2 linked regions of the Daphnia pulex genome follow. The protein of the gene in region 1 interacts with the protein of each later gene in a biochemical or structural test. Links are inferred from orthologs where the notes say so. Each region holds a gene or a part of one and is shown on either strand. Other genes may lie near its edges. The genes, in order: E3 ubiquitin-protein ligase UBR5-like and OTU domain-containing protein 5-B-like.

Region 1 (6,608 bases):
GCGTGGAAGGCGAACGAGAACGCAGCAGTGATCGAGGTAGTTGTCTTTTTATTAACAATCCTGCTTTTCATTTTTTTTTTTTATTTAATCGGGTACAACTTATGAAATATAATTGTAGCAAAATTGATTAACTGTCTCACAGGAGGTGGAGGTGGTGGTAGTGGAGCAGGGACAGGAGGAGCAGATCGTGAATCTGGGATGTTTCGTTGGCGAGATCGACATTATCTTGGACCACGTCGTTGGCTGGAAACAGCGCTTCGAGACACTTGGTACGAACGTGACCTGGATGGCAGCAAAAAGAAAGACACTCCACATCAAACACAGAGCCCTCTAGGTCTGTCAGACGAGCTTGAATTTTGGCCTGAACGAGGCTCTAGTGGTCCGTCTCCCCGTTTCACCAGCATTGCTGCAATGTATTCTGAGTTGATCGCACTTAGTACATCTGGTCAAATCCTCTCATGGAAATGGACTGACGCGGAGCCTTATCGTCACCTGGATTTCCCTCACGCTCATCACCCACGAGCTCTTACACTGGGGCTCTATGCTGAAAAAATTGTACTGCTGTCGGCATCCGTCATACGGTGCACTGTGGTAACGGAATCGGGAAAAGTAGCCAGCTGGTTAGATGAAACTGTAGCTCACGTTCCCGGTATCACAAGACTTGAACATGCTGCCCAGCACCCCTCTGAATTTCACGGCGAAAAAATCGTTTCACTCGACACCTGTTCACTCTACTCGGCTGTTCGACTAGAAAATGGAGCCATTTATTGGTGGGGCGTATTGCCACCAGGCCAACGCCGTAAACTTTGGGACAAATACCGAACCAAAGCTAAGAAGAGCCACAGCAGCTCAGCTTCCGGTTCCGATATCGTTACTGGCGCACAGGTAAATAACGAAATAGCTATTTCTTTGTTATCATTTTTTAAAGCTTATGGTTGATTTTATTCTTCAGGTGTGTATGAGAAGTAGTCCCATGTATCAAGCTGGAGCCATTGGATTCTCAATCATCGATGGTGTGCCGAAAGTCGGTCAGCTGCAAGGTTCAGCATGGAGCTGGACTGATACTTGTCGATTCCGTATCGTCCCAGGACCCCCTCCCTTGGTCCGCCTAGCTCCACCTCTTCCACCCGGAGGTAGTAGTGACAGCAAACGTGGCAATGCTGCAAGTGGAAGTAGCAGCAGTAGCAACGCCGAAACCTCTAAAACATCGAGCACTCGTGAGGCGGTTGTCGAAAAACCTGACATGCCTCCTCCTCCATCGCCAGCCAGCAGCACTTGCAGCGAAACGGGGAGCGTAGCAGGAGGCTCACAAAAGAAACACAAGAGACCAGCTCCGCGCGGCGATAGCGAAGACAAACGTGGCGACGAAGAGGAATGGGTGTTAAAAGATGTCATTTTCATCGAAGATGTTAAGAATGTGCCCATTGGCCGCGTCCTCAAGGTGGACGGCGCCTACGCTGCTGTTCGTTTTCCGTCTAACAAGGATTACAGCGGCAAGGAAGCTAAAGATTTAGTTGTGCCGGCAAATAGCGGCAGCGAAGATCCTGCTTCGCTTCTACAAGATTGCCGTTTATTGCGTAAAGACGAATTGCAGGTGAGTGACGATTGTGAATATTTGAATCCACGAAATTTCCCTAATCTAATGTTACTCTTTCTCTATTTAGGTGGTAAAATCGGGCTCATCCATCCGGATCCCTGATTGTTTCCAAAGACTCCCGCGACGAGTGACGTTGGCCGATCCCGGACAGATTTTAGCCTTCTCAGTAGACGGACAAGGTATTCACACGGTCAACAAAGTTGGCTCTCAGCTCAAGTACACAATCTACAATCTGAGCACGGGAAAAGCCGAGTATGAATCGAATATACCAACGGACTATACCTCGTTCATGGGCCTCAACGTCGGACGAAACATTGGACTCTTCAATACAGGAGATGGTGACGCCTTGACTCTGCTCCGTGATGGAAATGGCACAATCTACCCTTTGTCACGTGACTGTCTCGATTCTATTCGTGATCCGCATTTGCTGGATTTGCCACCAATGCGCTGCCTGGGTTTCGGTTCCCATTCTCTGCAAGGGGTTGGTCCTGGACAGAAGACTCAAGCCATATTACTCGTACTCGTCACCGAAAATCAATTATTAATGCCCAAGTTGCTGGCCTGCGATATCGATGGCGTTCGCCACGTCATGAACTGCTTAGAAACGTCTTCAGAAGCCTATCGCCTTTCCGGCGTCCAGAGTATCGTCAACGAACGCTGTGATGGTGGTCGAAACGTAATCCACGCCTGCGTATCCATGTGCTCACCAACTTCAAACAAAGATGCGGACGTTCAAGACGAGCGAAATGTAGCACCCGTCGCCAACTCCATCGCTGATCCTCTAGATCCCCTTCCGGTGGGTTTGAGCACTTCCTCCCGGGCTGTAAGTCTCAGAGAGATGATGAGGCGTGCTGCTGTTGCTCGACCATCGGAAAGTTCCACAGCCGATTCGGGAGTTCCCAGTAGTAGTTCCGTAGTCGAAGAAAACATTTCTATTCCGACGCTCAATTGGCCACCGGAACCGATGTCTTTGGAATCGTCCAATCACGGCGATGACGATCAAGCTGGCTCGAGCAGTGCCGGCGCATGTGGCTCCTCCAAAATGGCGGCTGCTGCCGTTTCCGACCCTGTTGAACGACGTGCCAATTCCTTGGCCGCGTTGAAGGCCATCACCGAGAGTCCAGCTCTGACCCCTCATCTACAGACACTCCTTTCCGCGCGTGACGCTCAAGGTCACACACCGTTCATGCAAGCGGTTGCCGTTCGTGCCTACCCCGCAGCATTACTTTTGCTAGATGTGGCCACTAGATTATTTCGACAGATTACAACGGAAGTGGACGCTCAGAAAAAGCTGTTGCAGAGTTTCATTTTTCCATTGGGCAAGAATGGCTGCAGCCCGGATGACTCACCGCTCCATGTTCTCTGTAGCAACGACACGTGCAGCTTCACTTGGACCGGAGCCGAACACATTAATCAGGATATCTTTGAATGCCGAACATGCGGCCTTACGGGATCCCTTTGCTGTTGTACCGAGTGCGCCCGCGTATGTCACAAGGGTCACGATTGCAAGCTCAAGCGCACATCGCCCACCGCTTATTGTGACTGCTGGGAAAAGTGTAAATGCAAGGCTTTGGTTGCCGGTAATTCATTTCAATGTTATTTCTACTAAAGTCTTTGATTATTAACTCTATATCTTGATTTGTAGGCAATCAAAAACTTCGATTCGAATTACTCTGCCGCTTGGTCCACGAGACGGATCTGGTGAACATACCCAATAGTAAAGGAGAGAACATACTGCTTTTCCTTGTACAGACAGTCGGTCGTCAGTCGGCTGAACAACGACAGTACAGACCCGCCCGTTCCCGATCAACTGGAATCGCCGCTTCGAGAAAAGTTTTAACATCTGAACTGGAACCAGATATGCCTGAACACGATCTAGAACCACCGAGATTCTCCCGAATGGCATTGGATAGACTTTTGAATGATTGGTCATCAGTTAAAGCCATGTTGCTCTCTGGCTACAAAGAGGAAACAGTTGCCGGTTCCAGTACCATCGCCGAAGATCAAGCATATCTTCAAAGCCAAAGTGGGACTACTTTATTGGACAAATTTACTCACTGCATGTTAGTCAAATGTTCGGTTGAAATGCTGGACAGCCTTTTGACTACGCTCATCGCTGAAATGGAGAACAAGACTTGGTGGTCGAGACAACAGGAAGCTCGTCTTGCTGCTAGGCGATTCGTGCGCTCGGTCGTCCGGGTCTTTGTCGTTTTTAGCGTTGAGATCGCTCCTCAGTCTGGAAAGAAGAAGAATAATGCTTCCAGTGCCAGTGTTACTTCACAGCCGTTGATGAAATGCAAGCGAGTATTCCAGGCTCTTATTAATCTGGCCATTGAAGAACTGTGCGAAGCAGCTGATGCCCTGATCGTACCCGTCCGGTTAGGTGTCGCCCGTCCAACTGTCCCATTTCCGTTGGTGACTTCCAACGCCGACGCCATTCATGGAAGCGAGGAACTCTTTTCCGTCGATCCCTTACAACCGCTAACACCCCGAGCAGCCGACGAAGAACACGCGGACGGCTCTTCTGTACCAACTGGATCGCTCGGTGCTGGTTCCAGCGCTGCAGGTGGTGGTCGTGCCACCACTCGCCGTATGGAGTCTGAAGAACTAGACACCATCGAAGGTGATGAAGGCGATGGAGAAGGTGACGGCGATGCTGAAGCGGACAATTCAGAACACGAAGATGCCGAAGGCAATGGTCGCGGCGGTGATGGAACTGGTCGACGAGAAAATGCTGGTGGTGAATCGGATATGGAGCTGGACCTCCTAGCAGAGACCGAAAGCGACTCGGATGACAACGAGCACGAACATGATAACGATAATCAGAGCACTCACACTCAGGTAGGTGTTTAAAAGTTGAGCAATGAACGGATTTTTTTCATTAAATTTTGTATTACTTTGTTTGAATATTTGTAGGACAACAATTCGGTCCAACGTAGTGTGCAGACAGGAGCTACAGCCGGTTCCGATGCGGCCATGGCATCCTTGGCGTTATTCTCTGATGATGAATCTGGCGATTCAACTGGTCAAGAAGAGGATGAATCGGACGGTGGTGAAACGGACGAACAAGATACGGAGGAATTTGCGTTCTCAGACGAACAACTGGAACGCCGCAATAATAACCCTTCGTCCGCCGTACCCGCCACTGCTGCTGCCCCTGTCCGTGGTACCTCTGGCATGGCTCCGCAATCGATGATGTGGGCCATTCGCCATCGAGAGAACAATGCCGTACGTGGCGCTGGCGCCAATGGGGCCGTCGGTAGTGGAAACGCTGTCGGTGGTTCAACCACCAATTTGATGTACTTAGAACCTACTTCTCTTCGCCGATCTGCGGCTGCTGCTGCAATTGCCGCCGCCACAGCTACACTTCCCGTGGTACCGGAACCCTTTTCCATGGCTACTACAGCAAGCGGATTAGCTCGGGCTTTTGGACTGGTCGTTCGTCAGATTGCAGACCTGCTCACGATGCTTTTGGATTATCCGGCACTTGCTCCCACCCTTTCGCGAAATTTGGACATCACCAACCAAGAGTCCATTCAGCTGCAACAATTTTTGGAATTCAGGTTGAAGCCAGTCTGGGATTGGCTGGTCAACGTCATGGACTCGACCGAAGCTCAGCTACGCTTTGGAGTAGCTTTATCCAACGCTTCTACACCGAACGGAACACCTTCAAACCATATTACTTTGTATGGAAGAACACCGCTGTCAAGGTATTGATTTTTTTTTATTTCCCCCCCCCCCCCGTTCCGATTTATGAGTATCTAATTCATTTTACTTTGGTTAGAATGGTTACTGCTAGTTCAGTTTTACCTTCCTCTCGAACGGCCGCATCTTCAAGTTCGGCAGCCTCTGCACTGGCTGGTTCGGGAGCTGCACCTGGAACTTACGACGGCCGTAGAGGACAGGCTGGTGGTGCTGGCGGAGAACGGGGCAACGAAGTGCCGGATCCCTTGACGGGAAGGCGCGAATTTTTGAATTACTGCCTTTCACTTATGCGGGCTCACAATGGCGAGCATTCCGACACCCTGCCCGTTATTGACGTCTCGTCATTGAAGCACATTGCCTATGTGTTCGATGCCCTTATTTATTACATGCGGTCGGGAAATGAATCCAACCCGTACGGTGATAATGGTAGTGGTGAAGAGTACATCGCTGACATGTTCAACGAACCGGTAAGATAACATTGAGTCTTAATGAATTCATTGTAGTTTTTTTTTCACATTTTCTAAAATTACAAAATGGGATTTATAGGACGAAAACGAAAATGCTGATATGGATGAAGAAACCGGGGGAGCCATGGACACTGAATCTGTTGGTGGCGAAGAAGAAGCTGTAGTCCGGCAAAGTGGTCGCAAGCATCCATTCTTCCGTCGCTCCGAGTCGACGTTGTGTTTGGGATGCCCACAGCCGGATCCGTTTGCTCTACCGATGATTGAAGCGTTGCCTCTGGCGGACCAACCGCATCTTCTGCAACCATCTGCTCGCCGCGAAGAACTTTTTGGCGCTCCTCGCCAACCCATCACGATCCAGCCATCAGGAAATCATCCACCTGGCTCGACCAATCCTCTTGAAGTTATACCTACTCGTTTAGGACTGTCTACAAGGACACCGGAGGTACAAACGGATCCAGCTCAAGCTCCAGTTCCCCCTCTAGTGGCGACCCCATTGAATCCACAACAACCAACACTTCCTCCACTTCATTCAACTTCTGAAGTCATCCAGGAAACTCCTCAGAATTTGTCTTTGAAAGATTCGGAATTCGCTGAAGTGATTGAAGTAGCCCGTGTCAGTCCAAGTGTGGCCAGCAGCGTCATTGTGTCACCCCGACGGGCTGCTGCCACTGCTCAGAGCGTTATCGTTCGGACTGGCACTGTGAGAGACAATGCCCCTGCAGGCACAAGTACCGCAGGCAGTACTCCGTCTACCGTACCGAGAGAGAAAACGGAAGAAACGGCACCATCCGCTTCTAGCTTTTGGATGGGTAAAAATTCCACTCCGAATGTGAGCCAGT
Region 2 (7,201 bases), on another chromosome or scaffold:
GGTTTTCCAAGCATGCCAACTGATGGATTGTTGTTGCGACTCCGCCAACGAACAGAGTGAAAGCTATGTCAGCGAAGACAATTTGGAAAAAATAACGCCAACAAACACGTTGAATTGTGTCAGTGGGGGTGGAATGCAGTCCGGTTTAAATGACCAAATATTTGCCACTATTCACCGGTATTACTTATTTTCACATTTACGTTAGTTCTATAACATTCTGTCAAATCTTCCTTTTAGCATGTACAAGCAATTCATTTCGCCGAAAAGCAGCAGTTGTGATGCGTTAAGCAATTTGGCCGCTCTCGAACGCTATGCTTACTACGTCTTGCAGATGGTCGATGCTTGCGATCCTCTCATGCTCAAGAAAATCATAGCAAAAGTAGTGATTGACAAAAAGAAGACTATGGAACTCGAGAAAATAAAGCGAGATACAGCCCATCGGGAGGAGCGCGAACGTAAAGCGCAAGCTAATGCCACATCCGCCCCGGCCCAATTCAAAAGAATCACAGTCGTCAACCGCAACAGACTGCGGGGGGCCGTTCACTTTCCGAAACTCGGTAAAAAACCCAGCACTGAATCCCAAGAGGAAGTCGACATGGCTCCAATCGACGAACTTCTCTATCTTTTCCGAATGCAGTTGTGAGCGGTTTCCTCTTTGCAAGACTAGAATTCGTATACAGATTTTGTTTTTAAATGTTTGTGAATGTAGCTGTGTGCTTTCATCAAAACAGTTGCATCTTTTCGATTAAGTTTCTTTTTATTTCCGCCTTCCTCGTACTTTTCTTGATTGCACTTATTTTTAGATCTTATAACTCACAAGGCGACTAGTGTTCAAGAAACAAAAGCAAACAGCATGAAAAAATTTCAAGATTATCAAATTCAAAATTGGAGAACGCGTGGACAATAGTATCATGCCAGAGTCAACGAGGAGTAAAAGAAAAACAGAGAGAGTATGTAAACAAATGAAGATCATCACGAAAGAACGAATTTTGCGGATTTAATGGTGCGATCCCATTGTAATGGTCACAAGCGCCATTGCTATAAATCCAAGGAAATGGAATGCAACTTTAACCATTCTGTCTTTCGAACTAGCAAGTTCGGCCGGAATAAGTTCGAGGAATGTGACGTGAATGAATATCCCAGCTGCAAGAGATTGAAATATTGCAGAAGCGACAGATCCACCAGTACCGGGAGCTTGTTGAACGACCAGTCCAAGACAAATCCCCAAAGGGACAGCCAGTGAGAAGATGAGAATATATTTGACTCCTTGTTGGAGAGTCAATTGCTGTCTTGCCATTGTGATACCAACTGAAAAGGCGATGAGGGCTTCATGAAACACGATCGCGAAAAACAGGTGAAAGATTTTCATTTGTTCTGTCTGCAAGCCCAAGGCCATTCCTTCAAATAATGAGTGAATGCTAATAGCCATGTACAGCAGAGTTAGGCGTAGGGTTCCCCCAGATTTGTTCTTGAGAATTCTTTCTACTTGATGGTGGCTGCAGCCTTGGGCTGGTTCCAATTGAAGAACTTTTTTAGGACTAGGTGCTTCATCGCTATCTTCTTCCTTAAAGGTGACCATAGGAACATTTTGATAAATCCTGGGGATGTTGATTTCCTTTAGAATCGAAGGACTCTCTGGTGAGACTGCTTCTAATGCTTTTTTGCCAAGCAGTTCTTCTGAAGCACTTTCATCTCTGACTGTGTTATAATAATTCAGTTTACTTGATCTATCAGTTTCGTCAAAAGCCATTGGGACTTCCCAGTCTCCATTGGTCTTGTTCTTTGAATTTTGGCATTGAAGAATGAGCTGTTCGACTGACATGATAAGGAAAAATCCTAAAATGCATGTGAATTCAGCAACAGGAAAATCAGTTGTTATATTAAGGTCTGCAAGCACTTTCCTCGTCTTGTCTTGCGCATAAGGAAGTAGTCCTAGAAAGCACATTGCGATGAAGACTCCACCAGCCATGGAATTACAGAATGAAATTATTCTTTCTGTACCACGACTAAAGTTGCAGTCCTTGGTAGATTTCTTGGCTACAATGCAGACTGGAATCAAAGCACAAATTGCCATAACAATGTACACAATCAAAGCAGTGACAACCAGCAGTACTTGGCTATCCATGTTGACTGCCACTATGCTTGGATGTGTCTGATGGACTGATGCAACTGTTTACTCTTTTAGAATTTTTCGTTTAGTAATTTTCAGCGTTCGCACAGGCCAGATGCCACTGACTCTACTCACTGTCCCTTCGCGTTATTATAAAACTCAAAACTACTTGAGACAAGGGCACTTACTGCGCCTTGAGCGAAATATTAACTCGAGCTCGGTCAACACCCTCTGTCGGTCGATTTGTATTTATTTTTATTTTTTTTGTGCTTTACATCTTCTGCTCGTTTTCTTACTTCATGCTAGAAGGAACCTACGACAGGTTCTACAATAATGCTACAATAATTAATTCACCTACCTGAAAGGTATATGCAGGGTGATTTTATTCCTTCCTGGCAGAAGTTATGCAATGTTTCACTTAAAAAGTAAAATTCCAGACACACGATCAAAACGAAGTCAATGTCACAATACTGGCAGAGCAGACAGAATGTTCGTATACAATTAACATCCTTGGTTGCCTTCTTCGAGCAAAAATTCGGAAATTGAAAAATACATATTAGCTAGAAGCTAGCTAAAAAATATTTTTCAACACAATTTTGCAAACATGAAAAATTATGTTTTTTATTCATAGCATCACTCCGAAAATTCATTCCATTGAAAATTTGAAACATTTTGAAACTCTATGTTTTCGCTTATTCATCGACATGGCAACCTCTAAATAATTTAGACAGAAAAATAGACACGGCCATCTTTCAGTGGAAAATTTGTCTTTTTCGTTGAATAGATAAAAGAAATCGTCGAAGAGTACATTTCAAGGGCGTTTCGGTAAAGAGAGTGATCTTTGCACAAGCATCATGACAATTCTGCCGAAAAAGAAGTCATCTCAATCACGGTCGGAATCCGAAAGTAATACTGATGGATCTCCCCTACAACACCTCTCAGTTGGGAGCAATAATCACCTTTCACACATTGGACCAGTACCACAGGTAAAAAAATTATTTTTATAAATATACCCCAGTATTTAAACAGCCTTTGGAAGAAATTATGGCTGGAAGTTTCAGTGCATCTTCTAATTGACATCTGAAACAACCACACAAAATGGCCGGTCCAGCTACAACCAGTACTTATGTACAAGAAGCAAATGGTGCTTTGTTCATTACACCCTTGCCATTTAGGCAGTGCTCAATGAATAAAAGCAAATAGTATTGATAACTATTATTGACAAAGATGACAAAAAGTCAGCATTGTTGATTCTTATTAAAATGTATTTTACATAAATTTTACAGGTAGCAGAAACTTGCAGTGTGTCTAGGCTGTCTGGAAGAACATCATCAAGCCATCCCCACAGCCACGGACACAGCAGCCAGTCATCATCTCGCTATGAAGATTATGACCTGGAGAGTGGTCCTAGTCAAACAAAAAGAAGAATGAGAGTCAGTCCCCATAGGTATTTAATCTCAGTTATTATTTTGTTGCATTGAAATTTGACAGGCATATTTTTTTTTTATTTAGAGCTGTCCGCCCCAAGCACAGAGATAGGAATTCATCAACCTCTGCCATACCTAGTACTAGTTCAGCCATGCACAGTGTTGCCTCTTCATCCAGCTCAGGAAGTTCTCCCACACCAAGCCATACAGTACCAGATCCTTCTTCCCATGAAGATGAATCAGGAAGTGGATATAACAGTGGAGATGAATATGGACCTGCAAGATCTTCATCTTCTAATGTCCCCATTTCTGAAGAAGAATGGGAACAGGTATGTTTCCTAAGACAGAAGTGTTATTCATAGAACTCCATCAATGCCAATATGATTATTAGAAGGAAAGATGGTTTGAGAAAAAGATGCGGAAACGAGGTTTTATTATTAAGCGGATGGGTGAAGACGGAGCCTGCTTGTTTCGTGCCGTTTCTGATCAAATCTACGGTGATCAAGAAATGCACTCAATGGTTCGCAAACATTGTATGGACTATATTGTAAGTAATTGTCCTGTTGTATTTTTATGAATTTGAAACATTACGTCTATATTTATATTTGTCATAAAAGGACGCAAACGGAGACTACTTTTCACAGTATATGACTGAAGACTTTGCCGCCTATGTGAGTAGAAAAAGATTGGAAAATGTACATGGCAATCACATTGAGATGCAGGCTATGAGCGAAATGTACAACAGACATATTGAAGTATTTTGCTACAGCGTCGGTAAGCCCTTATCATTTCGATAAAATTCGCTAAATAGAAGGCTTACTTAAATTTAACCCATTACAGAGCCGATCAATATTTTCCATGGTAAACATCAGACTGATGACGAACCTATTCGATTGTCTTATCATCGTGGAGTGCACTACAACAGTTTGGTTGATCCGTACAAAGCCACTGTGGGAGTAGGACTGGGATTGCCAGGATTTGTCCCTGGTCAAGCAGACAAGAAATTAATGGGTGATGCCATGCGACAAAGTGAAGAGACCTTAATTGAAAAAGCCATGTTAGAAGATAAAGTTAAAGCCACAGATTGGGAGGCAACAAATGAAGCTATTGAAGAGCAAGTTGCCCGTGAAAGTTACCTCGACTGGCTTAGAGAAAACGAGCGACGCAGTCGACAGCAGCAACGGTCCGGTCATTCGGCAACCACTTCCTCGAATGCCTGCGAGCTCCGTTCCCCAAGAACAACAGCAACGACGTCCTCTTCAGCTCGTAATTCGCCCAAACCATCTTTTGTTGAACACCAGCGGAAGTCTCCAAATGCTTCACCGAGAGCGTCCACTTCACGCAGCGCCACAACCTCTAGTAGTCGTGAAGGTGCATCAACTAGCCCTATCGCGTCACCGGCCGCTGGTACTTCAAGTTCAAACCCAGTGAACACCAGTAAACCCGATTGGGGATTGGGGCCAGGCTTTGAATTGGCTGAAACGGCTTCATTCCTGGGACAGTTGCCTCCTGACATGTTTGGTAACTGACGTTTATATCAACAGATATTTTCAGTTTAATTTTATGCTTTAAAATTGGCTAAAGGTTTAGCAGACTGGGAGGATGCTGGACTTTTGGCTCAAGTGCTGGCTGCATCGCAACAAGAGTATCTGGACAAGTTGAAAAAGAGCAGGGAAGCCATCGACCCTCACGACGACGAGACGATGGATAACACCAAACAGCAGCAAGAGGAGCAGCCGGTTGAACAGAGCAGTCGCGACAGTATGACGACAGATCCAACCAACGACCTGACCAGTGCGAACGGGACTAACAATAGTTAACCCAGACTCCTCAGTTGTTTTGTCTACGTGTTAGCTTTCCTTTTTTTTTCCCCCCGTCAGTGGCAGGGAGCTCAAGAGGCGTGTATCAGGGGAGGAGTCAGAAGAAAGTCCTTTCCATGCAAAATTGTTAATCTTTGATTCTCGGTCTAAATTTAGACTCGCAATGACGTCTGACTGACACAATTGGATTGAACTTGCCTGTACCCCCGTCTCCTCCACTGCCGATTCTCGCAAACTGGCTGCCAAATCATGTAAAAAAAATTCATCCGCGTTCAAAGTCCAGTGAAGCGAGAAAGGGAGAAATCACTTAAAAAAAAAAAAAAAAAAAATGAGGATTGTAATAATTCGTTACACAGCTTTTCTGTCAAAATAGCCGCGGATGCTCCTCTTGCCCTCCTGGTGCCTTTGAATATCTTTCGTCGTGGTTTTCTCCATTTCGTTTTGCGGATGCTGGAACTAACTAACGTCTCCCCGTACCTTGGCAGCAGCTGATGTGATGGCCATAACTCGCACTCTTTTTTCTCGTTTGTCACGTTCTTTTGTTTTTGTTTTCGTTTAGCTTTTTCTACTAGTTGTAGGATAGAAACACGTCAAGCTATTCCGTCTGTTGAAAGCTAAATCATATGTTTTCTTGTATCACTGACCTCTTGTGCTTTTCGTGTGTATTTGTTTTAAATCCCTCTCTTCCCTATTCTGCTCTTGACACTCTTGGTTGATGTCAGAAAAGGTCAATGGCTTTCTTCTCTTTATCTCTCGCCCGTATATTGCAGATATAAATCTATTTGATGATGACGAAAAATTTAAGAAAATGAGAGACAAAAAATAAGCTTTATGCAAATAAATTAAGAAAACAAACAGACTGCCGGTATTGTAATCAAGGCGAGGATGTGCGTACATTTGTGTATTAGAAGAGAGAAACTCAATGCAGTAAACTATTTGATGAATATGTGGAGCAGCGCGCTTGCGGAAAATAACGTGGCCCGATTTTCTTTTTTTCATAAAGGCGGCCATGCTCATGGTCAGCGCAACGAGAAAAGAATTCTATATATTTTTTGGGCCAGAGAGGGCAGGAAATTCAGCCCGCTTTTGGCTAGAAAATGCGGTTGCAATGGAATATAGGGGAAACTGTATAGACTGGGTTCAGCTCGCTTCTGATTGGTGACTTGCTCGTTGACGTCACAGATCGGCCATATTGAAAAAAGCCAACACCAGGGGGCCACGAAGGCGCAGTGGCGCCCTCGACGGTCAGACAAGAGAATTTCCAGTCTTTTATGTGTGGCCTGCAGAGTGTGGTGTGTCTGTGATTTCGGCGTTTGGGTCCGGTCGACGACACTTCTCCCACCCTGAAAACAAAAAAAAACTGTAGAGTGTGTGTGTGTGTGAGTGTGTGGTGGGGCCAAAGAAGGAATTTCTCGTGCAGCACTGAAAAAAGTCCGACATTTTGAGTTTCCTAACGCCTTGGTTCTTAGTCTCTTCAGTTTTAACCTCGTCGACCAAAAGGACCCAAAATTAGTTATTTGTGTGTCGACTCTGAAGGTAAAGAAACGCCACACAGAATTTTGTGTGTAGGATGCTTCGTTTGGGAAAATCTACGGGCTGTATGGGTTCTCTTTGTGTGTGTCTGTGTTTGGAGGGTGGAATGGATTCCCAACTAGTCAGGGCCATGGTGAGGGGGTGGGGAGGGGGGAACGAAATAATATGGGGGAGGGGTGGAGGGGACCAGACACAAAAAATACCCCCTCTAGAAAAAAGGGAGATGGGAAGGGGGATAGAAAAACATGGCGGGTGAAATTCTAGATATATATTATTTTTAAAGAAAGGCTAGGCCCTTCTGTACCCTACGG

The links.
Region 2: the proteins of E3 ubiquitin-protein ligase UBR5-like (region 1) and OTU domain-containing protein 5-B-like form a complex in vitro, tested with the Homo sapiens proteins (2 studies listed by BioGRID, with this or other methods). The link is inferred for Daphnia pulex from reciprocal best matches to the Homo sapiens genes UBR5 and OTUD5.

The regions. Positions count from the first base shown.
Region 1 is NC_060021.1:11,106,726-11,113,333, reverse strand, and holds part of E3 ubiquitin-protein ligase UBR5-like, read left to right. Parts: coding exon 1-36; intron 37-118; coding exon 119-885; intron 886-952; coding exon 953-1,594; intron 1,595-1,664; coding exon 1,665-3,177; intron 3,178-3,242; coding exon 3,243-4,438; intron 4,439-4,513; coding exon 4,514-5,307; intron 5,308-5,381; coding exon 5,382-5,769; intron 5,770-5,848; coding exon 5,849-6,608. UniProt on the Homo sapiens protein: E3 ubiquitin-protein ligase involved in different protein quality control pathways in the cytoplasm and nucleus. Mainly acts as a ubiquitin chain elongator that extends pre-ubiquitinated substrates.
Region 2 is NC_060018.1:2,562,643-2,569,843, reverse strand, and holds OTU domain-containing protein 5-B-like, read left to right. Parts: upstream 1-2,813; 5' UTR 2,814-2,964; coding exon 2,965-3,096; intron 3,097-3,396; coding exon 3,397-3,557; intron 3,558-3,622; coding exon 3,623-3,866; intron 3,867-3,928; coding exon 3,929-4,084; intron 4,085-4,154; coding exon 4,155-4,311; intron 4,312-4,377; coding exon 4,378-5,058; intron 5,059-5,121; coding exon 5,122-5,357; 3' UTR 5,358-6,216; downstream 6,217-7,201. Other genes in the region: uncharacterized protein LOC124208638, read left to right, coding at 1-177, 238-643; zinc transporter ZIP1-like, read right to left, coding at 998-2,125. UniProt on the Homo sapiens protein: Deubiquitinating enzyme that functions as a negative regulator of the innate immune system. Has peptidase activity towards 'Lys-48'- and 'Lys-63'-linked polyubiquitin chains. Can also cleave 'Lys-11'-linked ubiquitin chains (in vitro).